7 linked regions of the Oryzias latipes genome follow. The protein of the gene in region 5 interacts with the protein of the main gene of each other region in a pairwise test. Links are inferred from orthologs where the notes say so. Each region holds a gene or a part of one and is shown on either strand. Other genes may lie near its edges. The genes, in order: fhl3, memo1, cep72, blvra, lnx1, mtmr9 and hsbp1.

Region 1 (4,228 bases), on a different chromosome or scaffold from region 5:
GCCCTGGCTCAGGGGATAGAGTTTCAGACATTTACCAACAAAGCATCCACGGAGGAAGCCTTGCGACCCTCACAATAACACTACAGCACCTGGCAATCCCCTCACAGGAAATCTGAGGTCACTTCCCCCCTTTTTAAGGGAATGCAGACACACTACAACAGCCAGCCACGCGCCCCCACATCCTACCAAGGAGGGAACTGACTACCATAACAACCAATTTAAACATGCTGAAGTTCCAGTGCTACACTTTCATACACACACATATATATATATATATATATATATATGTATATATATATATATATATACACACAAAATGACAAAACCAATATTATTGTTCTCATAGCTGTTTGAGGAGGTTCAATCCAGGGCACTGCATTATGGTTTTATTGTCATAGCACCTTTTTTTTTTAAATTCCAAAATATCTTTATTGTGATTTTCAAAGCTTTATATGTTATAGCACCTTTAATCATTTTTTTACAGAAAAAACCCCAAAAAGATTAGAACCAAAACCTAATACATTACGGACTTATTTAACTTCACCAAAGCCTTGTGATGGAATTATCGGGCCGCATCCCGCCTTTGCCCTGAACTTTTGACACTCCACAAGGATAAGCAGGTACTGATAATAGACAGTGCCACCAAAATTATAACTAATTATTACTGAGACCTCAATAAGTAAGCTTTTCAAACAGGCACCTGATTATTGGGTTGTACTTCACATTTTGAGTGAAGGTGGAGAGTAAAACTATGTAGAAGTTGAAGACAAACGAAACTCTGTGATGTAGGACTGTTGATCAGACACCCACACGTGGGATTTTAAGGCACTGAGCAATTACACGAGCACAAATTGTGCCAATGGAGGAACACACAGCTGCACAATGTCACAAGAGGACTACATCAACGCAAATTCCAATTCTGCTCTCAAAAACCACCTGCAAACACTTGACCGCCAACTCCTCCATCATTACCATTGGCCAGGTTTCAAATGGTGCCAACACATAAAGGCTGCTAAAACCAGTTCAAATTATTTGGTTGCAGTCCTGCTGCAGTTTTGGAACTGGCCAGAGTCCAAAAACCACGCAGAGCTAACCTTTGGAAAACACTGGGACCTCTGAAGAATGTGACCATGGTCAAAGAAATGGAGGCGGTGGGAGGAAAAAAGCAAACAATGACATTATGCAGCTCTGTATGCTCTGTCAAGGCAAACTTCCCAGATGCTAAATGGAACCGAATAAGAGACATGTAGTTAAAGGGTGTTTCCTCTGCTGGTTATCCTTACTGACCATGTAAGAAAAAAACCTGTAGGTGGCAAGAGCACCCCAGCACTCCTCAGACCAAAAACTTTTAGAAGAGGCATACTACAGCACCATGTTGACTTCTATGTCCAGGCTGCAGCTGTATCTTCTCTTGCATCTACTCACAGTTGGATCAGGAGATTTTCTTTTTGTCTACCACGCTGGAGACAAACCAGCAGATTAAAATGTATGTTCTATACTGCAGAAAAAGGATTGCTTATGTTTAAGAGGAGGACATTGACATTATTTCTTTTTATTCATGCTGCAGTTTGTTAGTTGGGTCAAGATCATGAAGAATCAATGCAATTTTTCTCTGTCTGGAAATCAAGATTAAGTTGTTTGTGAAAGACCTTTTAATCTCCCAAAAATTCTGGGATTCTCTTGCAACCGATGTCAGAACAACCCCCAGTTCTTTCTTTGCTGCCTGTTTCAGCAGACTATATTCAATCAGAGCTTAAGGAAGAGCTTTTTGTGAACCAAAGGCATCGATTTAAAACAATCTCTTCCTCTATCTGTTATACAGACTGTTAAACTTTTTACAGTCAAGGCTGACCACCTCACCCTCCCACTGCACCCACATGACCCAGCAGGTGAGCCAAACTGTCATCACAATGACACGTACCATGAGGTGCTGCACGACTCCAGACGCTACAGCATAGACACACCCATTGCACACTCTTACTGCTATTTGCCACTTTCCCCTTTTGCAGAAAAAAAGAGGCAAGTTTCGCCTGTGGGACTTAGTCCTGTGAAGGCTTCACTTGGAGCTCAGCTTGAACTTCTCTGACAAAACAGTTGCTCCTGAATCCTTCATATGCACAGTTCAGAGGGTCACACAAGCTAATATGGTCTGTTTCTTCATCGGAAGGATGTTATTTATATTTCCTCCGCCTTGTACACTCTACGAGTGTACAGAGGGACACAACTGAATTACTGAATGAGAGGGAAGGGAAAAAGTTAAAGACAGCAACAGCAAATTTAGACAATGTCTAAACACGCAACCAGATACTTCTACTTCAGGAATTGTAGATATTTGGTTGAGCCTACTCTCAAAACCCTTTCCCCCCCAACTATACTTTCATTCAGTCATAAAGGACTAAGTAATGGACTTGAAAGAACCCAGATTATCTTATATATTCATACACACCTGTGTTTGATTTAGGATCAACAGGTTACTCAATGAAAATGATGGAGCCAAAATGTCTCTTCTTACCAGTCAGACTGATTGAAGTGTGGAGGCACCTTTCCAAGCTGCTGTGGTGGTGATCCAGCCGCCTTCCTCCCGTCAGCACACGGCCGCTCAGGTCAGCACACGGCCGCTCAGGTCAGCACAGGGATCAGCTCACAGAAAAAGCTCAGGAGTGTCGCTCTCCGGCTCTGAAACGTTCTGTTTTATCTGCTTGTCATTAGCTCGTGCTGGTTTGCGGCGCCTTCCATTCGTGAAACCCGGGTTCGACTCCGGTCTGCTCCCTGTTCCCTTCTCTACCTCTGCCGGTTCCAAGCCCGGTTTGAGAAGGTTGCGTCAGGAAGGGCATCCGGCGTAAAACATTGCCAAATTTACCATGCGACTTGTTCGCTGTGGCGACCCCTGATGGGAGAAGCCGAAAGTGGAAGCAAAGCATGAAAACTCTGCAGCACAGAGGGGTGCAGCTTGCCGGCTACTTTTGTCCTACTACTGAGGAAGTTGCTGGTGAGTCACAAGATCCCGCCCCCCCAAAAAAGGCATTCCTCCCTCCCTCTTTCCAGCGACTTCAAACAAGAGTGGAAAAGGCCCATGCAGGCAAGAGGGGAGATTCTTGCAAGGCTCTTTTGTCTCTTCAACATTGCATTGCAGTGGGTTATAATAGAATTTTGTTTGTTTTGAGTTTAGAGCAGAATATGTGAAGCCTGCATGTCATGAGATGTTTGAGTGTGTGGACCACAGGTGCTGGAGGCTTCTGAAGGATTTCTTTAAAAATAGCAAAACCATCAATGAAATTACATCACAGGATTATATGTATTATTATTATGGTTGTTGTTTTGAAAGGGAGGGACATAAACAATCCTTCCAAAAATGACCACGAAGGGTTAAAGATTGATCTAATTGTTAAATTACATTCCTCTTTTTTTTACAGTGTTTTAAGTTCAAATGATTCATTTGTGTTAAGACAAACGAATAAGTCGACTTATTCAGGATTAAGCTGACCTATGCTCTGACAAAGTGAATGCTCTTTACTTCAGTGTTAATCATTAAAAACACGAATCATTATTAATTTAGATTTTTTTAATAGAATTTAATGACATTTTACAAAGAAAATGGAATTAACTATTCAAACTCATGCATTGCCTTTCCTTTTAAGATATTTTCTCTCTTTTTTAAGACAAAAAAGACAAAAAACGCTTTCTCTTTACTGTTGATGTAAGACTCCTTTTTTAAATAAAAGTGGGCTACCACTTTTGTTTGTTTTAAAAGACATGTTTTCTTAATCAAAACTGGTTTTGGAAATAAATTGATGAAATAAAGCAACATTTAATTGATTCGTATTTAATCACAAATCAATTACAATCTATTTGGTTCAGTAGTTGTTGCATTAATACACAACCCCTTTAGTTCTACATTATTGACATATGTACTACGTTATTTATAGAAATTATTTATCTAAATCTTTACTAACATCAAGTTAATCTAGCTCTTTTTTTATAACAATTTTTAGGTCTTCAATCAAAAAACAGAGATTATGAATTAGAGGACTGATGCAAGAACAAACTAAACAAAAAGAGACTGAAATTCACAAGCATTGCCCACCAGCTTTTTAATTTTACCTTTACATTTTGCTTGCCGCAGGAGAAGTAAATAGCATAAATAGATATATTCGTTATGTCCCATAGCACTTTACAATGGCAAATCCCATTCACCCATGCACACAGATGGTGTCAGAGCTACCATGCA
Region 2 (4,174 bases), on a different chromosome or scaffold from region 5:
CAAACGCAGTTGGTTTGCGCTAACAGGGCCGCATCTAACCCAAAAGCTCAACTTTACACGGTACTGTTTGTTTTTGTAACTCGAATCCGGTAACAACAAAACCGAAACATCGCTAGCTTCCGCCTGTCTGGGAGAAAGCTCCGCCCCCTCGTTCTGAGAAGTGTTTTCAAGGCACTGCCGCTGACCACACCGCCCCCTGCTGGAGCGGCGTAAGATTGCAGCAACTTTATTCTCTTTTTAACTATTTGATTGATAACACACAAATTCCCTTCTAGAAATCCTAGAATTTTTGGAAATGTCAAAATGTCATTTTTGAAGTTCAAGGCGACTTTAAATATAAACACCCTACAGCCAATATACAACCAAAAAAAGATACGGAATATTGCCGGTTTAATTTTAACTCCATTGAAAGACAACAAATAAAACTATTTGACAATCATTAAATTTATTTGATCAAATATTTATTTTGTGTACTGCAAAAATTATTGCAATTAAGTCCATTTATAATTAAGGGAATTTAACCTGTTAAGAAGATGGCATCATTTTCTTTCATCTTTGTTAATATTTTTCATTTTCCAATCAATGTATGACTTTATATCTGAAACAGGTTGGACATGTTTTGTGATTTTTATTATCTTATACCTTTAATTTTAATGCTCATAATAAACCAATAAAATTGAATTTAACAATTTTTTTTATTATATTTGACAAGTATTGCTATAAAAATGTTTGAATTAACATTACACTAAAACATTTCTGTTCAGGGTCTGAAAAAATGTTGAACAACCTCCAAATAAAAGTAAGAATAAAAATGTTAAAGACAGCTTAGATGAAGTAGAGCTTTAATAGTCTGTATTTTAAGTTACAGATAGGGAAGAAAAGTTAATTGATTTAAAGAGTATGTGGGGAAAAAAGCAGTTAAAGGCAAAATTAAATAATACGTAATTTGAATAATGTGAACATTTTCTTTCTAAAAGTAAAGAAACTTATTGTTGTAGTTTTTTTGTTTAACAAAAAAAACATCATGGTAGATATAAATTCAGTGTTGTTTTTTATCTTTTAAATGTTTTTGTAATGATCAAAAAGTGAGTAATATTTTTTTTATTAAAACATATGTAATAAGTACAAATTTGTAATGAGTAGTGTTTTTTGTCTAAGAAATCTGTAATGAAAAAAATGTTTCTGTAATAAATAAATAAAATGTGATAGATAAATTATTTTTTAATAAATAAAATTAATATATATGTATATTTAAATATTGTAATAAATATAAATGTATTTTTCTTCTCGTTCAAGAAATTGTATGGCAACCCTCCCGGGACTGGCTCCGCCTCCTGCAGTGAAACCACCAATCAAAACGCAGGACGTCACTTTGATTACAGTTTTCTTTTACCTGGTTCTTCACAGCGTTCAGTAATCTTCTGATTCTGGCAGTGACAACAGTCTAGCTTTAATACATTTGGTCCGTGTTGGTCTGGGTTGGACAACAATCTATTTTTGATTTATATCTTTTCATATTTGCTGATAAAAACAGCGAGACAGTTAAGTTGTTGACCTAACCTAAAAAACCGGCATCTAAACGGGCCGGCTGCCAGTACATTAAGCTCGTTAGCTAGCAAGCTACACTGCCTTACAGTGAAACTGCCCTTTGTCTTTTTAGTAGGCAAGTTAGCTAGCAGGAGCGTTTTTGCCCTCTCTGGGACAACTGAGCAGAACGTATCGGTTTAGTTTTATTATTTTTATTTTCTTATAAACATCTTCAGCGAACCAAGATAGGCAGCTTGGGAACCAAGATGTCGAATCGAGTGGTGTGCAGAGAAGCAAGTCACGCCGGGAGCTGGTACTCCGCTTCGGGTAACTGTCAAAACAGCACGGTCCGCGTTAGCATAATGCTATCTGATCATCATGTACATTTCTTTCCTTGACACGATTTGTGAAGCATTAATATTGTCGCTTTTATGGCTTTCCCAGTCTACAACATTTACGAATTAATAGGTGATCTAGAGCAAAGATGACAATAGTCCGCAGTGTGGTGAACACTAATCCATGATCCAGCAGATGGTTTTTAAAAAAAAAGTCGCCCGGTTAGCATTTATCCGACAATCTTCACCTCAATTCTCCCAAAATATTCGCTAACTGAATCCATGTCGCTAGGTGAACTCTAAGGCTGACATGTCACTATAAAAACGAACGTAATTCTCGATTAGAAGACCTTTAGTTAGCTAGCTATGAAGCTAAAACCTTCCTGGCCTAGCATGCTAACAGTTTTGCTACACCAAAAAAACCGTCCACAGAGCTTGCTAAACGACTTTTATTCACTCCACTGGAGTAGTTTTGAGTTTATTCCACTCCAGTTGTTTTGTGTAAAAGTTCATGTTCTTGCAAAGCAAAACACTTGACACTGACAAAAACCAAAACAAAACTAAAATATGATTGTTTTGGTTGTTGCTGCTTCATCCCTTCCCCCATTTTTTGAAGCCCTGTTTTTTACCCCTCATGTCAGCCCATTTCCTTTTCCAAAAACCAGTTTGCTGCTCCGTCAAAGACGAAGCACAACAGTTTATTGCGACTTAAAAAAAAACATCTTATTGTAAGCGCATGCTTCAAATCAAACTTTATTTATAAAGCACTTTCAGACAGAGGCAACACAAAATGCTTCACATAATAAAAGCCTTTTTCCAACTTAAAGACCCGCTCCGATGAAAATCATTTTTTATTGTTACGTGTTCTTGTGATCTTTTTTAAATGATAGAGGACATATAAGTAGAAAATCAAGCTCGAAATTGCATTTCTGATTGTTTTATTTCTTCAAATCATTATATGAATCAGGATCAGGCCAAAAAATGTCGTTTGAAAAACAAAATATTTGTGACAAAGTACTCTGGGCGAGACACTGCTTCCCTTTTGTTGGACCGGTAATGTTAGGTCATGTGCGTGAGGGGCTGCTAGCTAGCGGGAGAACGTGTAAACAGAGAGCTCTCAGCAATGGGGATGGGAGGTCCTCCACGGCAACGGTCCCGCCCACAAATCAGAGGCGAATTTCTAATGAACTCCTACCGCTGTGAAAACAACACAGGATGTTGGGTAAAAACGCCATAATCCTAATTAATAGACCACTGGGAACACTTTGAAAATGATGATCGGAGTGGGACTGTAAATATATAAATCACGTTAAAATGAAAAGCGTGGTTAAATTGTCACACAGCATAACTGTAGTCACGACTGAATACCTGTTATTTGACTACATGCGTATGTTATTGACATGACCCAACAATTATTAACATCAGTAAATATTATTTTAGTGCAGTTACTTTTTTACATACAAAAGAGAAGTAGTTTACATCTAATTTACTGAACGAGAATGCAAAATTCTAATTCATTGTGTTATGATTAGTTATTGATTTGGAGGGATCTTTTGTCTGCGGAATATAATGATTAAATTGTATATATAAATGGATTAATAGCTTTTTATTAATGGTTTCAACTATGGATCCAACTATTTACTTCCCCCTTGATTTGGTTCAATCTTTGATTTTTTTTTTTTTTTAGTCACAGTTTTGTTTTGGTTCAAAATATGATTTGATTTTACAAAAAATCTAAAAAAAAAAAAAAAATTTGTTGCGGTTCAAGTCACAATCAGGAAAACCTTTCACTTGGCTTATGCTAAGCCTTGTGTGATGTAATAAAACAATAATTCTTCTTAAGTCTAGCACAACTCTATACTTTGGATGTAAACGTACTGGTATTCAGTCGTTAATCAGAAATGCATTGTATTTTCTCGTTTACCCTCAACAATTACTACTTATTCTAGAGACCGTAAATAATGAATTTGCATGCTTGTTGTTAAATGTTTGCAGGATCCCAGCTGAATGCACAGTTAGAAGGCTGGCTGTCCCAAGCGCAGTCGACCATCAGACCCGCCAGAGCCATCATAGCGCCGTAAGAGCATCATAAAACGCTCTCGACTTCCTTCTATGTTTTCATTCTATACTGACACGTGTTTGTCTGCAGTCATGCTGGCTACACCTACTGTGGTGCTTGTGCAGCACATGCCTACAAGCAGGTTGATCCCTCTATTACGTAAGTGGCGTAGCTTTGTGCACCAATTCTTCATCTTTCCGTGTTTTTGCAGACTCCATTGCATTCGTCCTCCACGGAGCATGTGCTCATGTAG
Region 3 (4,221 bases), on a different chromosome or scaffold from region 5:
TTTATGATTTAGAGTATAAATCAGTCGGAGAGCTGAACTGAATGTTAACCCTTTTTTTCCTTCCAGCTTGTTGTTTCAGGCTGCTGCTCCCGTCTGCCGTGTTGATGCTAGAGTAGGTGAGTCTTGCAGGGTGTAAGATGGGGTTAGAGGACTCAGACAGAGTCAAACCGGGTTGCAGTGGACTGGCAGGACGGATGTTGATCAATGAGGTGCTACGACACTGGCTTTGATCTGAAAAAGTCATGTACATTCAGAGTTCCAAGGAAGTGAGGAATGTGAACTTTGGCAAAATTCCACAATAAATAGCAGTTGTTAAATACACAATATAAATAAATATATATATATATATATATATATATATATATATATATATATATATATATATATATATATATATATATATATATATATATATATATATATATATATATATATATATATATATATATATATATATATATATATATATATATATATATATATAACCAGGGTTTGGAGTAAAATGGCCCTTAGCTTCGTGTCTGATTTGTTTAAAGGACAGCTTCTGGTTTGGAAGTCCTCTGTCTGCACTGTGTTTCTCTACAAAAGGACCGAAGGACACTTTAGGCCTTTCAGCTACTTTAGATGAGGTAGAGTTTTTCATTGGAGGTGTCTCCTTCATCTGTAGCCCTCTGGATACAACAACATCTGTAAATTCACAGAAAGGCACAAATATGTTTTCATCTTTTAGTGTCAGACATTTTTATGGAGTTGACATCTAGCTCTCCCTGGTGGACATTTATGTTTCTGCTTAAACAATTGAAAATATTATAGTTAGTCAACAATGAGGCAAACACCACCAAAAATCTCTTTTTATTGCCATGAACTGTTTCCTTAAATGTTAGGGAAAAATATGATGCATTATGAATTGGTTTACAAAATCTCTTATTCAGACCAACTTAAATACATTTTAGCTGCTTTAGCAACTGCTGCAATCCATCTGCTTACTAGTGCTCTGATATACACACAGATAATTAAATCATTAAATAAATACCCAAAAACACACTTACCATTGATATTGGGTGAATATCTGAGGATGGATTTAGTAGATTCCTACAAGCAAAGGGTGCCGTCATTCATGCAAGCATAGGGTGACTATTTTTTTTTAATCAGACATGGAGAAAAAGAAAGTCACCTGTTTTGGAGTTGAACTCTTCTTCTCTGTGAAATTTTGTAATATTTCCTCCTTGGGTTCTAGAATAAGGTTTCAACGTGAAGAAAGAACGTCAGCAGGTTTGGTGTGATTAAAAATTACCTTTAAGGGTCCTTACCTTCTCCTTTCCTGTAAACGGAGTCGCTGACTCTTTTAGATTGGTCTCCAAGGTCAGCCTCGACTCTGTTTAACACAATATCCTGACTTTCTGCTGAGAGTGACAGCCTCTTGGTCAAACGGTCGACCAAAGCCAGACGAAACCTGCTGCTTCTGACAGCAACAGGCACAGAACAGAGAAATAACTAATTAAAAGGTTGAAATATACATTAAAAACCACATATTTGATGCTTCCAGGCTTCAATAACAAGCTAGTTTAAGAAAGCAGGTTTGATGGAAATTAACGAATAGATTTATTACAAAAGGATGAAACAAGATGAAAAAAACCTTGAGATAAAAGTGTGTGTATTGCAGCTTTATAATATACCGCTGGATTTCCATCATCTGAGCTCCATACAGTTTCTGAATTTAGACCAGATTGGTGTTTAAAGCCTGCATTAAGAAGGTTTTGTGCATTAAACTGATTTTGTGCTCGGCGTACCTTTGATCTTCAGCCAGATTCAGAGAGCATCTCTTCTGCTGAGGAGGAAGATCAGAGGAGAACTGCATGATGGCAACTTTGCGTTCCGTCTCTCTGACCGAGCAGCTGTCTGCAAACCCAAAAGCTCATTACGATGTCGGGAACTTGACAGAAAACAGTCACAAAAACAGGCCCAGATGACTCCAGCTTACCAAGCTTTCGCAAGCTGGGCAAGGCGTGCACGATATAAGCCCAGTAGTGTGGGCAGTTTTTGGTGAGAGGGTTGAGCCTGAGGTCCAGCTCTCTTAAAACAGGAAGCTGGAACAGAGTTTTCACCTCTTCAAGAGATGGTATGCAGTTATGATAAAGAATCAACCTCTCCAGTTTTTTTAAATGCTGCAGCCCCTAAAGAAAGAACAGGAACCAGATTTGTAAGCATTCATCCAACAATGGAAATAATAGTCACATGAAATAAAATAAAAAAAATGACTGTGATTTGAAATCAGTTTAATATAAATTCTGAAGAGACTTTTTTTTATAGTATAAAGTATTTTCTTAATATAAGAAAAATTAAAAATATCAAACCTCCACAGAAACCAGGGCGTTGTAGGAAAGATCCAGAGACTTCAGGCGAATGAAGTTATTCAGAGCGTTCCCTAGATGTCCAATCTTCTCCTCTAACGTTCCTGGGAGGCTCAGTGACCGGACATCACCTGCGCATCAAACACACAACAATGAATGACCAAAAGATGACGGTTCATCATAAAATAGCTTTGAATAGCTAATCTGCTTTCAGTCAGACAGAAAAAATGTTTTACGCGGGGTTTTTGTTTTTCCAATGCACAGGTGAATGAAACTCTTACCGAGACACGGATGTTTTAGTTGTAATCTGTCGCGTATCCATTGCTCTGAGATTGTTGTTAGACACTCCGTCGCCATACTTTTCAAACTTTGCTGCCTTCAAGTGCTGTCGTGAAAAAACGACTTCAATGAAAGAAACAAAAATAACACAGTCAGTGTGCAACGGAGTAAAGTTTTAAATTTATGAGGAAAAAATTCAGTTAAATACTCTGTCGCATGAGTATGTCACACACTAACACAAAACCCTCTTTAAAATGGTAACTTTTTAGTAGTTAACAGCGACCTAAAAATAACGATTTACTCGTTTACTCGACAGAACCTAAAATGTTTTTTTTAAACAAAGAATTATATTTCCAATAAAACAAGAATAAATAACGTTTAACAAAAAGTGTTAACCGATCTTTGCTAGTTTGATCATTATTAATATGGTTGACAACGTCTCAGAATTTACAAGGGACTTTGAACGCCTCCTTTGGAGCATGCGCAGTGCTCTGAAGACATTCTGTCACGTGTGAACACAAACATTGTTCTGCTCCTCCTTGCCCCAAAGTTTAGTCTTTCTGTTCAGTCCAGTTATAAAAAGGGGCAGCGTCAGTAGTTTCATTTGAACTTTAAGTAAAAATATTGTCACTTTAGTTCCGGTGTGTTTGCAGGTTTGTGTTCCGGCGCGCTTTCCTGAATGGCGTCAACAGAGTGGATGGCATGTTGTAGTAACATCATTCTGTCCACCACAGCTTTATACTTTTCACGCAAACTCTTCAAGGTTCGTCTCTTATTTTATATTTAAAACTTGTAGAATGCTTTTTGATAAACAGAGTATACTTCAATAAAGATGAGGCTTTTTTTTATAATACACCAGCTACTAAAAAGTAATCTTTTATAAAATTGATTATGCTTGCCTTCGTCAACATCAGTGTGTTTATGTTTTCCCTTTAAGAGTATGGTCACAAATTCTCAATATATTAAACAGACTATAATCTCATGTTCTGCAGGATCACAGGGGCCCCTCAATAGGCCTCTTCCTGCTTGGTCTCTCTGCCACGCTTTGGGTCCTCCTGCCTTCAAGCTCACACCTGGCCTCTCTCAAAAAGCAAGCCACTTGGGCTGGGGAGGTGCTGGCACCAGTGCTGGTTGCTTTTGAATTCCTGTGGCTCAGCGAGGATCACGGCACCGCATGGACCCTCCTGATTGGCTCCTGTCTGCTACTGGGACTCTCAGACTGGCTGTCGGCTGAAACTCTAACTGTGTTGACTCGCTGCCTGGGTCTGTCGTCTCTGTCCTGCTGCCTGATGGTGTGTCTGTTTGCTGGTAATGTTTTGGGTGCTGTAGGAGGTGTAGCCCTCAGTTTGCCATTACTCATGGAGCAGCAGGTAGAAACCACTGTTGCTGCTCCACTTGTGTCTCCAGCTGCGACAGAAGGACTCGTGAAGTGGCTTTTAAACGCTTTGCTGTCAGTGGGCTGCTGGGCGTCCACACGAGCTCTGGGACAGTTTCTGTTGGACATTAGTGATCGATTTAACATTTGAACCGGAGAAACTCCATGTTTTTGCACAGAGCTAAGAACTTAACAGGAAAAATGTCTAACATTTAT
Region 4 (4,222 bases), on a different chromosome or scaffold from region 5:
TTGTGGAAATCAAACAATGTTGACTGTTCCCTTTCTATATTTTAACTTACCAAAATAAAAGCACTATGAATTTGCTTTGGTAAATGGAACTTATACATGAGACGCAATTGCAGCGCTTAACATTGTGATCATTTAATAAACTGAATTTGACCATTTTATTGCAGTGGATGACATATTGAAATTCAGGTTGAGTTTTTTCAAAGCCATATTTAAAGAAAAAAAGAAAATATGTTTTGGTAAAATTTTGGGATACGTATCGTATCGCCAGACTCTTGCCAATACACAGCCCTAATTTGAGGTGGGACAGGTTTCAGACCTAGATTTGACAAGTAACAACTAGAATTCTGCTGCTTTTCCTGTTCTGGAGGATGTCACACAACTAAACTGTGTGTTTAAACTGGATTTATTCTGCCTTCTGTTATGTCGGCATAAGCAGGCTGCATACAAATGCACAGAATTAATTTGTGAATATTTTTTTCTGCCTAATACTTTGTTAGCAAAAATAATCCTATTTTTCATCTTCCTGTGATAATGGAGAAACTGGTCAGTTTACTCATCATCACACAGCGGCTGGACACCCCCCTGACAGACTGTACCTGGGCTGCCTGATGGTCCACACGGTTGTATCTGTCAGTCAGATGGATGTTATGAACTCGTAAGGGCGGGGCTCCAAGGCTCTCCATGGCAACAGGACACGCCTTCAGCTGTCGCACAGCGAGTTGATGGTATTCACTCCCAGCAAAGTTTTCTGACGAGATAGCAGAAAAGAGAGCATGCGCACGTACGTGTGCATGAGTCACAGAGACATGAAGGGGCTGCAGCAGAGAGACAGACCAAGACATTTGCGGGTTCCACTCCTAAACCAGAGCCACTTTCAGACCGTAAAGCGGAACCAGGAGTTTCTGTTTTGAACAGACTATTGCTTCAACGCGTGCACGCACACATGCACTCACTCTGCATCAGGTAGTACATGGTGCCAACGCCCCCACCCGTCAGGACGGTAGTGAAGATGGTGAGCCTCTGCAGATGGTGGATGGGGACCCTCATGGTGCAGCTCTTCCTGCACAAAAAAGCAAAGACAGATGAAACGGAGCCACGATGGCGGCTGAGCTGCAGACACCAACCTGAGAGACATGATGGAGGGAAAATCATCAGAGGATGCTGCCAGAAAAATGACTTATAGAGAGGAACTCTCTAGGTCTACAGCTCTGGAGTCCTGTCCTGGTTTCTAATTTGTTGAAACTTTATTTAAACAGGAACAGTGTACACAAATCCCAGAGAAAACAGGAACATTGTTCTGATGTTTTTTTTTTCTCCTGCAGGAGGAAACATTTCCAAAAATCCGAAAATAAAGATAAAGCATTCACTGTTGAAAATATTGGGATGTAAAAAAATGCTTCTAAAAAAAAAATCACCGACTACGAGGCACCGACTGGGCGGGGCCCTTTTACGTCATCGGGAATGTCCTGTCAGCTGGTCGAAATGGCCTCTCCATGAATGCTGTGGCGGACAAATGCGCTCAGGTGAGTTCAGTGTCACTCTTACCTGAACACATGCGGCTCTACCGGCGCGTGCTCTTCCCTGACCCCTCCCCCTCGTTTGCGCGGTTCTCCGTGAGCGTGCGCCGCTCTGCTGCAGGTTAGATCCGGAATCCGTCCGTAACACGTGTTCACGTGGGTTTAAATAGGGACGGTGGCCTTTGTCTTCTTTCTTCTATGCTTATCGGGGGTTTGTGCCGCACAAAGGCTGTTTACTGCCCCCTGCTGGACTCTGGACGCGCTGCACTAGATGAAATATAGAGGAAAATGGAACAGTCTTCTTTACAATTCAGTTTTTCCTGGACATGCAGGATAACTTCATACTGCTAATAAAAGCTGGCTTTCTTTCTTCGGTCTATATTCTGCACCATTTTAATGGAAATAAACGGGTTTTATCACCACTCTAATCAAAGTGTTTGACTGCGATCCGGGTAACCTTTGAGCACCTGTGGTTTACTAAATGTACATCATGTTTACGTGTTTGCGTGGACAAGAATGCCGCCCCATACACAGCACGGATATGGAACATTTTTCATTGTTCAGGCTGTTGTGTTGTTGTTGCTTCGAAACCTTTGAGAAGCTGCTGAAAAGAGGAAAAGTAGCTTATGCACAGAGCTGCACCAGACTGCATGTGCAGGAGACAACACCACCATGCAGACAGGGATGTCAGTGTTTCAGACTTTGCTAAGAAAAGTGGTAGGAGTTGTGTCTTAGAGTTAAATACATGTCCTCGAATGGATGGAAGAGCGGGACTACTGAAGTTGGATAAGCTCCATCGGGGAGGCCGTTAGCAAAGAGAGATGATTTTTAGAGAGAATACATTACGGAGAAACATTTAAATGAAGCACACCTGTTAACAGATACATATTAATAAAAACAGGATGATGCTTCTAGATATATTTGGACAGGACTGGTGATCTCTGACATCACCCATAGGGCTCTGAGGGCAAAAAACCCACGAGGAATACTAACCTCTCAACCGTCTCTTCGACTGCTGTTTTGGGAGTGAAAGCAGTCATTGTTGGTTCAATTCCCAGCTCTTCCAGTAATGTAGTATTGAAGTGATGTTGGGCAGAACACTACAGTAAATCTGTGAGTTAGGTTTAGTTTTTCCAACTGCATTTTTCCATCTGCTCGTGATTCAATTATTTGGAAAAAGCCACTTTAATCTTTATATATGTTCATTCAGAATGTTCTAAAAGAACATGTTAACACCCAAAATACAATTCTCATCGGAGTGGGTTTTAACAATAACCACTGTCCTAAAAGTTTATTTTTCATTCTCATGTATGAGAAAATACACGTGAATTGGGGGGGGGGGGGGGGGGGGGATTCGGACCCATGGCCTTGTTTTGGTTTAATAATGGTTCCATTTAAGCAGTGTGATGCTGCTTCCTGTGGACTAGGGGGTATGAATCTTCGGACACACAAGGTGTATATTTACATAAACCCATTTTGGATTAGAGGCTAAACTTCATCTATTCTCTTTATGTTTGTATACATTTTTTGTTGGACTGGACAGAAAAGAAGAGGAGAGAAGAAGAAAGTGGGATGTTAGAGAGGGGTGGGTTAAGGGTACTAAAGAGAGGGGAGGAAAAGGGGGGTAAAGGAAGTTGGAGGATTACAGAAGTGGGGGGGGGGGGGGGTAGAATTACAAAGCAAGAAAATGCTAGAAATTTAGCCTCATCACTTTTCAGGTGCAGATGTTAGTCAAAAGGGGCGGGGCCTGTCCACACACTCAAATAATACAAGCATACCTGTTGGCTCCCAAAAAACACAAACATGTCAACACGTACGTCCTCAACATGTACACAATACAGCTACAGCTCACACGCACATACTTATGCATACAAACCGACACATGCAAAGCATTTCCTTCTGTCACGCATACTATTTGTGCAAAGGTGAGCTGACACCTGGCCCCCCGACACCCTCGCTGGAAAGCACATGGAGGAAATCCACCCCTGATTTTATTTATTTATTTTTACAGTTACATAGTCATTATTCATTGTACGTGGGGGTCATGGGACAGACACGTAAATTACAGTGCTTTCAGTTGGCTCATTAAAAATTAAAGTTTCAATGAAGACCAAATGGTTGTTTTTGAACCTGAAACAGACCGACGTGTTCACATGCTCTGTTAGCAGAGCTGCCCTGTTTTTTTTTTAGAATTATGAGAGACTAAAGAGTCTTTCTCAAAGAACAGACGGAGCTGGGGAGGCCAGGTTCCTGCGTGCTCAGCTCTTGAGAGACAGAGCATCCTAACTCAGTCTCATCCCAAAACGAGGAGCATCTGCACAGGAGCCTCCTTATGTAAGAGGCAGTCCGCCCCCTAGCGGCGGACTCTGTCACTGCACCAGTGAAGATCGCGCGCGGGTCACGTCGGTACATCCGTACCGGCCGGCGTGCACGCGCCGAGCACCTCAGGCTGTGGGTTCACGCGCTCCTGAGGTGACTGCCAAGGAAGCAAGCGCGTGCGTGAGTTGTTTCTTTTTGGACATCCCCCCTCCCCTTCTTTCAACTTCCGGTTGTCACCAATTACTTAAGAGGTTACATCACGCGGGCGCGCGACACCAGGGTGGCAGTTAAAGGCGTTTTCGGCTTCAGCTGCATCAAAGCCAAGCCGAGCCGAACCGAGCAGCTGCTGCCGTGCACGTGCGCACGCTTCCCAAGTTCCAGGCTGT
Region 5 (3,500 bases):
ATGGAAATGTTGAAATGGTTTTTTCAGTGAGACTTTTCCACATCCATGCACAGAGTGCAGGCGTCTTTGAGGACATGGCCCATCACCTCCACATATAACACTCTCTTAGTACAGGAGAGCAGCCCGATCCTTGTGGGACCCAGCCTCTGAGATCCACAACCCTTGTAGTGAAAACCTACAGGGGCAGAGGTGGAAAGGGGGGACAGTATCAATTGCTAAGATCAGAAATATACTTTCTAAGAGTGATACTGAAAAGCTCATCCATGCATTTGTTACGTCTGGACTGGATTACTGTAACTCCTTGTTAGCAGCATGTCCTAAGAGTTTTGGTTATCTGAAGACAAAATTTTACGTTGGCTTTTTGAAAATGAAATTTGTTTGGCAAATTTTGTGTCAAGGGCATGGACAATAAGAATGGACACTTTGTATTCTGATAGACTCTGATTAGGGGGGTTATTGGATTTTTGTGATGAGCATGTATCTTTGTGTATTATGTATTTTGTCTTTCAGTGTCATATAAGCCTGTGTGGGCTGGGCACATTAGTGCATGACACTTAAATAAATCAAATCAATCAATCAAAAAAAATAAACAATCCTTAAGAAGTCTCCAGCTTGTTCAGAACGCAGCAGCTAGATTGTTAGCTGGAACTAGCAGAAGAGATCACATCACTCCTGTGTTAGTTTCACTCCATTGGCTCCCAGTTGATTCCAGAATCAAGTTCAAGATCCTCCTGTTAACCTATAAGGCCTTACATGGAATGGCCCCGTCCTATATTAAGGACCTCATAGTCCCTTACCATCCAATGAGAACACTTCGCTCACTAAATGCAGGACTGCTTGTGGTTCCTAGAATTAGTAAAAGTACGGTTGGAGGTAGAGCGTTTAGCCACCAAGCCCCTGTCTTATGGAATAAACTCCCAGCTCATGGAAGAGAGGCCGACTCAGTTTCTACATTCAAAGTTAGACTTAAAACATTCCTCTTTGGACAGGATTATTATCGGACAATAGGCTGCTAGAAGTTGAAGCTGGGGTAACTATGGTGCATTGGGGTTCTGCCCTCTTTTCTCATCTACTTCTACCCTTCCTCTCTTCTCCATTCTTGATCATTATTCATCATTTAGTTCTCCATGCCTCTGTTTGGTGCAGTGCGATTCATGTATTGTCCCTCTTTCCCTCTCCCCTCCTGGGGAGTGGGAGTGCTTCCAGATTCCAGGTGGCTCATCCGTGCTCCTGTTCCTGACCGTGTACCTCGTCTCTGCTCCTGCTTCTACACCTGGCTGTGGATCCTGCCTCTGGCTCGCCCCTGACTGTCCCCCCAACTCCATCTGTATGAAGCTTGTCTGCTGGACTTTAAATGTGTAGTTATAGAGCTAGATAAGTTAATTCTTCTTTATGAGTTCTGGTAAATCACCTGTCCGTCCTGGGAGAGGATCCCTCCTTCATGTGGGCGCCCTTGAGGTTTCTTCGTTTTTTCCGGAATCCGTTTTTTTTAGGAGTTTTTCCTTACTGCGAATGGGGGTCAGTTTAGCTTAGTCAGTTGGTTAGTTCAATTTAGTATTTTCCTATTGAACTCTATGTATTTATGATCCTTTTGAGTTTATGTTTCACTTTTTCAATTACCGATACGAAGCCCATTGAGACGACTGTTTTTGTGAATTTCGGCTATACAAATAAAATTGAATTGAATTGAATTGAATGAGAGAAAACGTCTCTTTTTTTGTGCTAAAGGAGATTTAGGAAGCTGGTGTTTTGATGTTCAACCCCGGCGCTTGTGTGTTTGGTGAGATGTGTGGATTATCCCAACAGTGTTTGGGCTGGAAGAGTGCTGCTGAGTATTAATGAAAGCAGAGAAACCCCAGCTCTGTGTTTTATTGCCATACAGGCAGGACAGTTTGGTCTGCCTAGTTAAGAGCCTGGTGGGAGGAGCGACAGTCCTCATTGGGATTGGAGCTGCGGGTTGATGATGATGCGTAGAGAAGGCTGGGAAACTCAAAGTGAATGCTTACTGTCAGTCATTATTAACTTGATAAGAATCAAAGAGCAGAAGAAAAGCTTGCTTGGGTTTTCTGGTGGTGGTTTACCTGCCTACACCAACCTACCTGTTTTTGATGTGGTCTTCCAGTTGTCCTCGGGCCAATTTTTCAGTGCAATGCTCTGTGAAAGGGCAGGTTATCATCAGCTTGTCCAGCAGCTTGTGCACCAGCAGGCTGGGCTTCCTGCAGCTCTGCAGCATGAGGGGGTCACGGCACACAGGGCAGAAATCGCTTTCCAGCAGGAAGCTGGTCAGGCACTCCTGGCAGTAGGTGTGTCCACAGGGCGTGTCCAGAGGCCGGATGAGCGGCTGCAGGCAGATCTGGCAGACAAGATCGTCATCCACCTCGTCCTGATACAAGTACTCATGGTTCTCCTCCAGCTTGTGACTGTGGCCACATGATGCACATAAATCAGGAGGCGGAGATAACAGTCCAAGGTTAGATGGGTAGAGAGGCTCAGCGGATGCCTCAACCATTGCGGTGGCGCCCACCGGCTGAGTGCTCTCCTCTGGTATGCTCATTGTAGGCCAGATTCAGGATAAACCTTGTAAAGAATTCATCTGCAGAGAGAGCTGGGACAAACAGAAAAACAAACAGTGTAAGACAACAACAAGATGTGCATGTTTCTGCTGGCACTCAAAAGGCCCCTTCAATGAATAAGTTAGTAAAATATTTTAGGATATTTATACATGTGTGCTCTGCTGTTTTGGGAAAAGTAAACAAGAATATGCAAACTTTCAAATTTTTGTTTTCTCCAATTAGAAAGAAGCTGTTGGTCAATGATTTATTAAGTTTAGTTTCACTCAGCAGAATAAATGCTAAACTTTCTAATACCTTCCCAGCCGTTAACAACAAAAAAGGAATTGCAAGAAAACAATGTTCACACATGAAGATTATTTTTTAACAACATTCCTTAATAAGAAATTTAAACATTGCAATAACAAAAACATAGTGGCAAAAGGTTTCAAACAAATGGGAAAGACATTTGGGAGATTTATTTTAGCAATGATTGTTGTTTTTGCACATCAAAATGATACTATGGGGACATTTTTGTTATATATATATACACACACACACACACACACACACACACACACACACATATATATATATATATATATATATATATATATATATATATATATATATATATATATATATATATATATATATATATATATATATATATATACAGTCAGGACCATAAATATTTTGACAGAGACACATTTTGACAGAGAGAATTTTAAATAAAACAACTCAGATGTCATTAAAGTGCAGACTTTCAGCTTTTATTCCATGGGTTGAACAAAAAGGTTGCATAAAAATGTGAAAAACTAAAGCATTTTTAACACAATCCCTTCATTTCAGGGGCTTGTAAGTAATTGGACAATTGACTTCCATGCTATTGCATGGGCAAGTGAGGGCAATTCCCTTATGTCATTATGAGTGAAGCAGATAAAAGGCCTG
Region 6 (2,150 bases), on a different chromosome or scaffold from region 5:
TCCAGGACACAGATTGTGGGATTTCACAGATTCACCACACACTATCAGTTCCCATCAGCCACTGGAGACCTGATCCTCCACGGGGCCTTTGGAGGTAAATAGTCATTTTCAAGTGAGTGCCTCATCAGCGCGAGCTCACGCGCCGTGGCGATTCTCAGATGTCAGCTTCATTTAGAATTTAGGGGTCAGGATAAAGTGCTGGGCATGAGACTCCCAACAAAGAAAGCTTGGACCCATTCACCTCTAAATGCACACAGCTCTTCTCAAGCCCAACTTCTCTCTGTCAATGTCTAATAAAAAAAAAAAAAAAACATTTTTGAACTTTAAAACCCCAAAAAACAAACAAAAAATAAACAAAAATATATTAGAGACTTCATTGGCATCACTAGTTTGATCACATTTTATTTTGTGGCTTTATCTAAGCCATTCAAATTGAACAATTTCACATTTTTTCAAATGAAATTTTTAGCAAAACTTTCTTGACATAATCTTTCTGAAACATTGACCTCAAGGGTTTTACCAGCCAAGTGTAAGAATGTGCTACAGGTCTAAGATTAGCCTGCATATGGTCACTGACGGAGGACAGGTTGTAAAATGTTATACTGTGTTCAGTGTCAACTTTCACTGAGGACACACCTACAGCACTGACCACATAGGGAGCAGGAAGGCTGATGGGATTCCAAAAGCCATCGTGCAAAATAAAATAAAAAAACAAATAGTCCAGGTGAAACTTCTCATTCATTTTTGGTCTAAATTTGTACAAATCAAACAAAAATTGACTTTATTCTTGGTGCCTGAGAATAAAACAGCAAAAATACCTAAGTTCTGCAGCAATATATTTTTGAAAATGAATTTTGTCTTTACAAAAAGTGACGCTTCAAACTGATTTATGTAAAACATTGTAAAGCACCATTTGATGCCTTATTTTGTATAGTGAAGAGAAAAAAAGGTATATTTGCCACATTTTGCAACCAAAAACCAATGTTAATACAGAAAAATTAAAGTGTTTTCATCCAAGACAGCTTAGAAAGACTTTCAAGCCTTTAATTTACTGAAATAAAGGCGCCCCCTTCTGGTAAGATTTTAGGGAGCCAGAAAAGAAAGAAAACGGGAAAAACGACATAAATTAGAAAAAGTGTTTGTGTAAATATTACTGTGAATTTGTATTTTTAGTGATATTAAGGACACCTTCAGCCAAGCATCGATGTAAAGTGTTACATGTCAGTTAAGGCTGATTTTAGTTAACCTGAAAACGTAAAGATTAAAGCCGTTTTAAAGGCAAAAAAACAGATTTTTTTGGGCGACATTTGCATAAACTCATATCAACCAAATGATCGTGTTTACATCAGATATATTTGAGACCCATATTAGAATAAAAGCAAGTATGGTTGAGTCAATATATTGTAAAAGAAATGTTTTGTGGCGTCAATTTTGGAAATAAAACTCAAAATTGGACGCAAGACATTTTTTGCATTTTTTTGGAGTGCAGCTTACCCTCCCACAGCAGAAGGCTCTGCGGGGCCACTGACGGCCAGATTACAAGACTGTTGGCTTCATAGAGGGGGTTGGTCAGGTGCTCCAGCTCCTGAGGCCGATTCATCCACGACCAAAGAGATACAGTCTTCTCAGGCAGAAAGAGCCTAGCTCTGATAAAAAGGGGACAAAAACCAAATGTCATTTACTTCAGATCCTTCCACCAAAAGTAAAGCTCAGATCAAGGAGACATAATGAAATTTACCATCAGTTTTATCCATCTTACCTCTCGGCTGCACAGTTGCAGAGAAAAGTACCGAACTGAGAGGCGTAGGCATGTTCAAACAGAAGCACTAGGAAGCTCTCATTGAACTCGAAGGAGCAGGGAAACTGTCGGAGGATCTGCCACACGCAGTCCAGGAAGAGCAGGAAGACGGGGGCCTCGTGGCGAGGCTTGCTGTTGGAGTACGCAGACTGAGCACAGCGCTGCTGGAACGGGTGACCTGCCTGGGAGAGATGCAATCAAAAAGACGAATGCTAAAAATGGAATTTGCAAAAATGATCACTTTCTGTCCTGTACTTTCAGAGACGTTTAAAGTTCAAACCTGGATCCACTCCCGCTCCACCAGTCTTTGGAAGCCTTTGATGGTCCTGCAGCTCGGATCAAGAATAATCTG
Region 7 (4,065 bases), on a different chromosome or scaffold from region 5:
ACCTCCAGCTCGGTCTGATGGTCGTCAGCGATCCTCAGAAACGTCTGAGTGGGCAGAACAGCCCCGTCACTCAAACCCTTATTTTACTGCGAATCCAGCTCGTACACACACCCAAAAACAGAAATGTTTTAATAGATTTTTATTGTAAAGAACACATTTTGTTAAGTTTCTGGTTTAGGCTGCAGTGTTGAAATGTCCAGATTCCATCCGTTAACTTTGATTCTGGGCTCTTAGGATCTGTGGTCACTTGATCTCATTCAGACAACAGATCCTCCAGTTTACTGATCTGACGTTTCACCATGTGACCGACCTGATTTCTATAGAGATCAGCCAATTGTTCCAAGACTTCAGAATTCATAGAAATGCTGCTTGTACCAAAGGAAAGTGGGGTTTGGTGCTAAACCAGAGATGAGAAATGCTTCTTCTGCAACGATTTGGTGAAGTTTGGCTTGAAAAACGTTCAGGACGATAAACTCAAGGTTTCTCTTCACCCCATTGTATGTTTAAGACTTTTCTTCTGCAGTTGTAATACTCAGTTGTTTGTGGTTGAACGCTTTTCTGTTCTTGTTTTTAATCAGGTGTAAGAACATGGAGGTGCCTATAGAAAAAATCTACAACAAAACCCAACGGGAAAAGTTCGCCTGGGCCATCGACATGACGGAGGACGACTTCGAGTTCTGAAACTGAACTTCCACAGACGTATAAACTCACACCAAGTGGCAGCTCAGGGACCTTTTGCTTTATCCCATGTAGAGTAAATGAATATTGTATTGAGGGGATGTTTATGAAGTGCTGAGGTTCTACTACTGCAGTTCAATAATCAAGCTGCACTTTAATGGATGTTTACTGCTACTTTTGGTTTGAAGACGGTCTGTTACATTTTGTTTGCATACACTTGAATAAAGGTTCCTACCATGCGGTAAAATAAGGGATGTTTTAATCATTCAATTTGGCAAAATCTTAGTTATACACTCGTTAAGTGGCACATTTCCAATTCTGCTCATTTCACGTCAGAATCCAACAAATTCATGAACAACAAAGAGCATTGAACCTGCAGATCGGATGAATTCAGTAGTTATGAAAGGTCTGTGGCATCAGACGACTCTGCCTCATAAGAGAAAATGTAGAAACTCTTAGCACCGTGGTCTATTTATCAGCACCTGGTCAAAAAGGAGAAACTGCTCCGTACATCGCTTTAATAGAAAATCAGAAATGGAATGCATTCTGCATCTCGTTGCCAACAGTGCTGCGCTGCGAGCTCCGGGTGTTCGCGGTTCATCGTGTTGGGATGAGGTTCTGCTGGCCCGTTACCAAGCACGGACCGGAGAGAAGAACCGACGCTGGCGGCTCGAACGTCCAGGTCAGGGCACCAAATACACAATTCTGAAGGGCAGGTCACACTAATTCAGATTACTACTACTCCACTTCTCACATCATGACATAACTGTAAACCGTTAAACCATTTTATATATATATATATTTAAAAAAAGCATTTCACACCAAATCAGAAGTCATCGGTAAAGAACTTTGACTTCACATCATTTCTGACCCTGTGGGACAGACAGAAAATAAAGCTGATTAGGAAATCTACCAGAACAAAGAAATTCTACAGGGGTAGACCGTTTTTCTTCACCTTCATGATGATCCTTGGCTCTCCTTCGGCTTCTCTGGTGTCGCCTCGGCCTCCTCCACACCAGCCTGGGTCATCAGGTCAGCAATGTTTTTCTCCAGGTCATCGATTCGTGTGCTCATCTCATCAAGTGGACACTGTTAAGGCAAATCTTTTTTTTTTCTAAGCAAACTGGAGTCCTGTAGAAAAAGACACCGGGACATTTGATGTAGAGTATGAGAAATGTAAAGACGACCATCAGAGCTCTGGCTTTCAAAAAAGGATATTCCTCCCGATGATCTGGTCTGACATTGTCTGGAACTTGTCTTGCATTTGCTGCAGGAGCGTCTGGACCTTTAGAAAAACAAAAGAAGGCCACAAACTTTAATCTGTCAAACCCAACAAGAAACAGTACAAGATCAAGCTGTGAGCGGCCCAAAAGCGCTTCCCGCCCTCTCAGTCCCCTCCTCACATACCCCACTCTGGACATAGCTGCATGTGAGAGAAAAACCACTAAAAAGGAGCTAAGACCTTCATCTTCCAGTCAACACACTAATCAACACCTAATGTTTCAGAAGAATCGAATACAGTCTGTGATTTAGTAGGTAGAGGTGCAACTTAGACCTTTAGTTTTGGTTCATTTCCATGGCAACACTATTGGTATCCACACCAACAGAAGTAACCTGGGTGTTGCGAGAACTGCTGATTATTATTATTACAATAAAAATGTAAATTCATATACTTGTTATTGAAAATGCTGATTAAAGAAGATTTATGTAAATTAAATTAGTCAGGATGAAGTGCTAATCAGCTAACAATGTCTTTTATATGGTGATAAACTAATAAATATTTAGTGAGATCGATCAGAATTTAGGTGTCAAGTGGTAAAACAAAGGGGGAAAAGGCAAAAAGGAATCAAACTTAATACTCCTTTAGATGCAACCTGCATTTGATTTGTTAGCAGTATAGTTAGCATTGCTAGCTACATCCATATAGCTAGTCCTAGCTAGCTTGACGGTCCAAACTCACCACGTTAGTAAGGTCCTGCACTGATTTGGGATCTGTTTCAGCCATGGTGTGAATAAAACTGTATGTCCGGACCTTCACGGCGGTTAAATTTAAGGCGCTTTATATTCGATTATTTAGCCTCAAGGTTCTGCTCGCCTGTACCACCCACGGGAGAGTCAGCTGTGCCACAACACGGCAAGTCTCGCGAGATTTGCTCATGGGCTGAGATCGGTGAATTTGCAGAACCCTTCGATACAAATAATGCTGTGGATTGACGACAAACATTAGGTTGTATGTATATTTATAAAATAATAACACATTTGAAAAATCAGTTGACGTTCTTATGTTTAGATGAAAAGAAAAACATGAAGCTGTAAGATTGAAGCGGAAATTCTAGACCTGTGTGTGTTTATGCGCAGCCGTGTGTGTGTGGGGATGCGCGCACACGTCTCTCCTCCTCCTCAGCGAGTTGGGATTTGAAAGTTGGAGCTGCGGGATAACTCGGCGGGTTTTCACGCCGAATTCACTGCGGGAGACGGCAAAGTTCTGTTGGACTGAAGGCGATCGGTGAGTAAAGCAGAAAACTGACGGTGCTGTTGTGCATCAGAAATGCGGCTGTTTGCGTAAAGTTCAGATTTACGCACGCGTGCAATAGGCTGAAACTTCACGGTTGCTTTAAACTCAGGCTTACCACGTGGTTTTTATGCATCATTCTTGAAGTTTTATTTTTTTTAACGAGACTGCAGCTGTATTGAGTTTGTCCCAAAGGAGCAGCAGCTCCGGCATGGATGTGTGTGGAAGTCCTGAGTGACATGAAGAAGCAGGCACTGCTGGCCCTACCCCGTGAAAATATGCTCCGCTTACATAACATTGAGTTTCCTCTTTTAAGAAGCTTCGGTACATTTCAGCTTCCATTGTTAGTGTTTACTTTCAACACATAAACAAAAGGAAATAGCAGAAGCCTCACAGTACTGAATAAATTGTGCAAAGGTTCCCTTAGAACGGGTTTTAACTTCCTCCAGGCTTGTGCCTAGTCTAACTGATTATAACCTGTAACTTTTTTTATCAGAAGCAAACAATTACTGAGCTTTATATGTAACTTAGACGTGACTTTTGCTCTTCAAACTCCTGCCATAATGCTGAGGTTTGGTGTTTAATGTCTTGCTGCTGTTCTTGTCTTTTCAAAATTAAGCGCTGCTTAAGTTACAGCAGTGGTGACGTCTTAGCTGAGTTTGGCACGATTTTCTGAATGAAATCTTTGTCAAGTTATACTTTAAAAAAATGTTCCCACCTCCTTTGTAACCTCCCTGTATTTTCTTGGCATGCGCACCTCATGCTTTTGTAGGCACAACACAAGGGAGAAAGTCCCTGGGTACGCTGTATGGAGCTAAAGCTTTAAGGGTGTTTTGAAAGCAGGCAGGTCATCTGTGTAACTCAACTATCGGTGT

Evidence for each region.
Region 1: the proteins of lnx1 (region 5) and fhl3 interact in a two-hybrid assay, tested with the Homo sapiens proteins (2 studies listed by BioGRID and IntAct). The link is inferred for Oryzias latipes from reciprocal best matches to the Homo sapiens genes LNX1 and FHL3.
Region 2: the proteins of lnx1 (region 5) and memo1 interact in binary tests that used the Homo sapiens proteins (3 or more experiments, as listed by UniProt). The two-hybrid records come from large-scale screens. The link is inferred for Oryzias latipes from reciprocal best matches to the Homo sapiens genes LNX1 and MEMO1.
Region 3: the proteins of lnx1 (region 5) and cep72 interact in binary tests that used the Homo sapiens proteins (3 or more experiments, as listed by UniProt). The link is inferred for Oryzias latipes from reciprocal best matches to the Homo sapiens genes LNX1 and CEP72.
Region 4: the proteins of lnx1 (region 5) and blvra interact in a two-hybrid assay, tested with the Homo sapiens proteins (3 studies listed by BioGRID and IntAct). The link is inferred for Oryzias latipes from reciprocal best matches to the Homo sapiens genes LNX1 and BLVRA.
Region 6: the proteins of lnx1 (region 5) and mtmr9 interact in binary tests that used the Homo sapiens proteins (3 or more experiments, as listed by UniProt). The link is inferred for Oryzias latipes from reciprocal best matches to the Homo sapiens genes LNX1 and MTMR9.
Region 7: the proteins of lnx1 (region 5) and hsbp1 interact in binary tests that used the Homo sapiens proteins (3 or more experiments, as listed by UniProt). The link is inferred for Oryzias latipes from reciprocal best matches to the Homo sapiens genes LNX1 and HSBP1.

Annotation. Positions count from the first base shown.
Region 1 is NC_019874.2:23,737,279-23,741,506, forward strand, and holds the start of fhl3 (four and a half LIM domains protein 3), read right to left. Parts: upstream 2,801-4,228; 5' UTR 2,513-2,800; intron 1-2,512. UniProt on the Homo sapiens protein: Recruited by SOX15 to FOXK1 promoters where it acts as a transcriptional coactivator of FOXK1.
Region 2 is NC_019873.2:27,908,076-27,912,249, reverse strand, and holds the start of memo1 (protein MEMO1), read left to right. Parts: upstream 1-1,374; 5' UTR 1,375-1,793; coding exon 1,794-1,854; intron 1,855-3,857; coding exon 3,858-3,939; intron 3,940-4,011; coding exon 4,012-4,080; intron 4,081-4,174. UniProt on the Homo sapiens protein: May control cell migration by relaying extracellular chemotactic signals to the microtubule cytoskeleton. Mediator of ERBB2 signaling.
Region 3 is NC_019874.2:16,684,699-16,688,919, forward strand, and holds the start of cep72 (centrosomal protein of 72 kDa), read right to left. Parts: upstream 2,801-4,221; 5' UTR 2,709-2,800; coding exon 2,633-2,708; intron 2,483-2,632; coding exon 2,355-2,482; intron 2,175-2,354; coding exon 1,982-2,174; intron 1,900-1,981; coding exon 1,791-1,899; intron 1,463-1,790; coding exon 1,311-1,462; intron 1,234-1,310; coding exon 1,175-1,233; intron 1,093-1,174; coding exon 1,050-1,092; intron 688-1,049; coding exon 487-687; intron 232-486; coding exon 50-231; intron 1-49. Other genes in the region: uncharacterized protein LOC101162471, read left to right, coding at 3,310-3,393, 3,623-4,156. UniProt on the Homo sapiens protein: Involved in the recruitment of key centrosomal proteins to the centrosome.
Region 4 is NC_019875.2:5,296,403-5,300,624, reverse strand, and holds the start of blvra (biliverdin reductase A), read left to right. Parts: upstream 1-1,422; 5' UTR 1,423-1,497; coding exon 1,498-1,523; intron 1,524-1,545; exon of another isoform or gene 1,546-1,702; intron 1,703-3,880; exon of another isoform or gene 3,881-4,222. Other genes in the region: cytochrome c oxidase assembly factor 1 homolog, read right to left, coding at 597-748, 954-1,047. UniProt on the Homo sapiens protein: Reduces the gamma-methene bridge of the open tetrapyrrole, biliverdin IXalpha, to bilirubin with the concomitant oxidation of a NADH or NADPH cofactor. Does not reduce bilirubin IXbeta.
Region 5 is NC_019862.2:726,583-730,082, reverse strand, and holds part of lnx1 (E3 ubiquitin-protein ligase LNX), read right to left. Parts: intron 2,606-3,500; 5' UTR 2,555-2,605; coding exon 2,100-2,554; intron 1-2,099.
Region 6 is NC_019882.2:13,972,578-13,974,727, forward strand, and holds part of mtmr9 (myotubularin-related protein 9), read right to left. Parts: coding exon 2,079-2,150; intron 1,981-2,078; coding exon 1,760-1,980; intron 1,647-1,759; coding exon 1,495-1,646; intron 1-1,494. UniProt on the Homo sapiens protein: Acts as an adapter for myotubularin-related phosphatases. Increases lipid phosphatase MTMR6 catalytic activity, specifically towards phosphatidylinositol 3,5-bisphosphate and MTMR6 binding affinity for phosphorylated phosphatidylinositols.
Region 7 is NC_019864.2:28,979,185-28,983,249, forward strand, and holds hsbp1 (heat shock factor-binding protein 1), read right to left. Parts: upstream 2,801-4,065; 5' UTR 2,684-2,800; coding exon 2,639-2,683; intron 1,964-2,638; coding exon 1,897-1,963; intron 1,761-1,896; coding exon 1,636-1,760; 3' UTR 1,634-1,635; intron 1,551-1,633; 3' UTR 682-1,550; coding exon of another isoform or gene 579-681; 3' UTR 125-578; downstream 1-124. Other genes in the region: DNA topoisomerase I, mitochondrial, read left to right, coding at 579-681. UniProt on the Homo sapiens protein: Negative regulator of the heat shock response. Negatively affects HSF1 DNA-binding activity. May have a role in the suppression of the activation of the stress response during the aging process.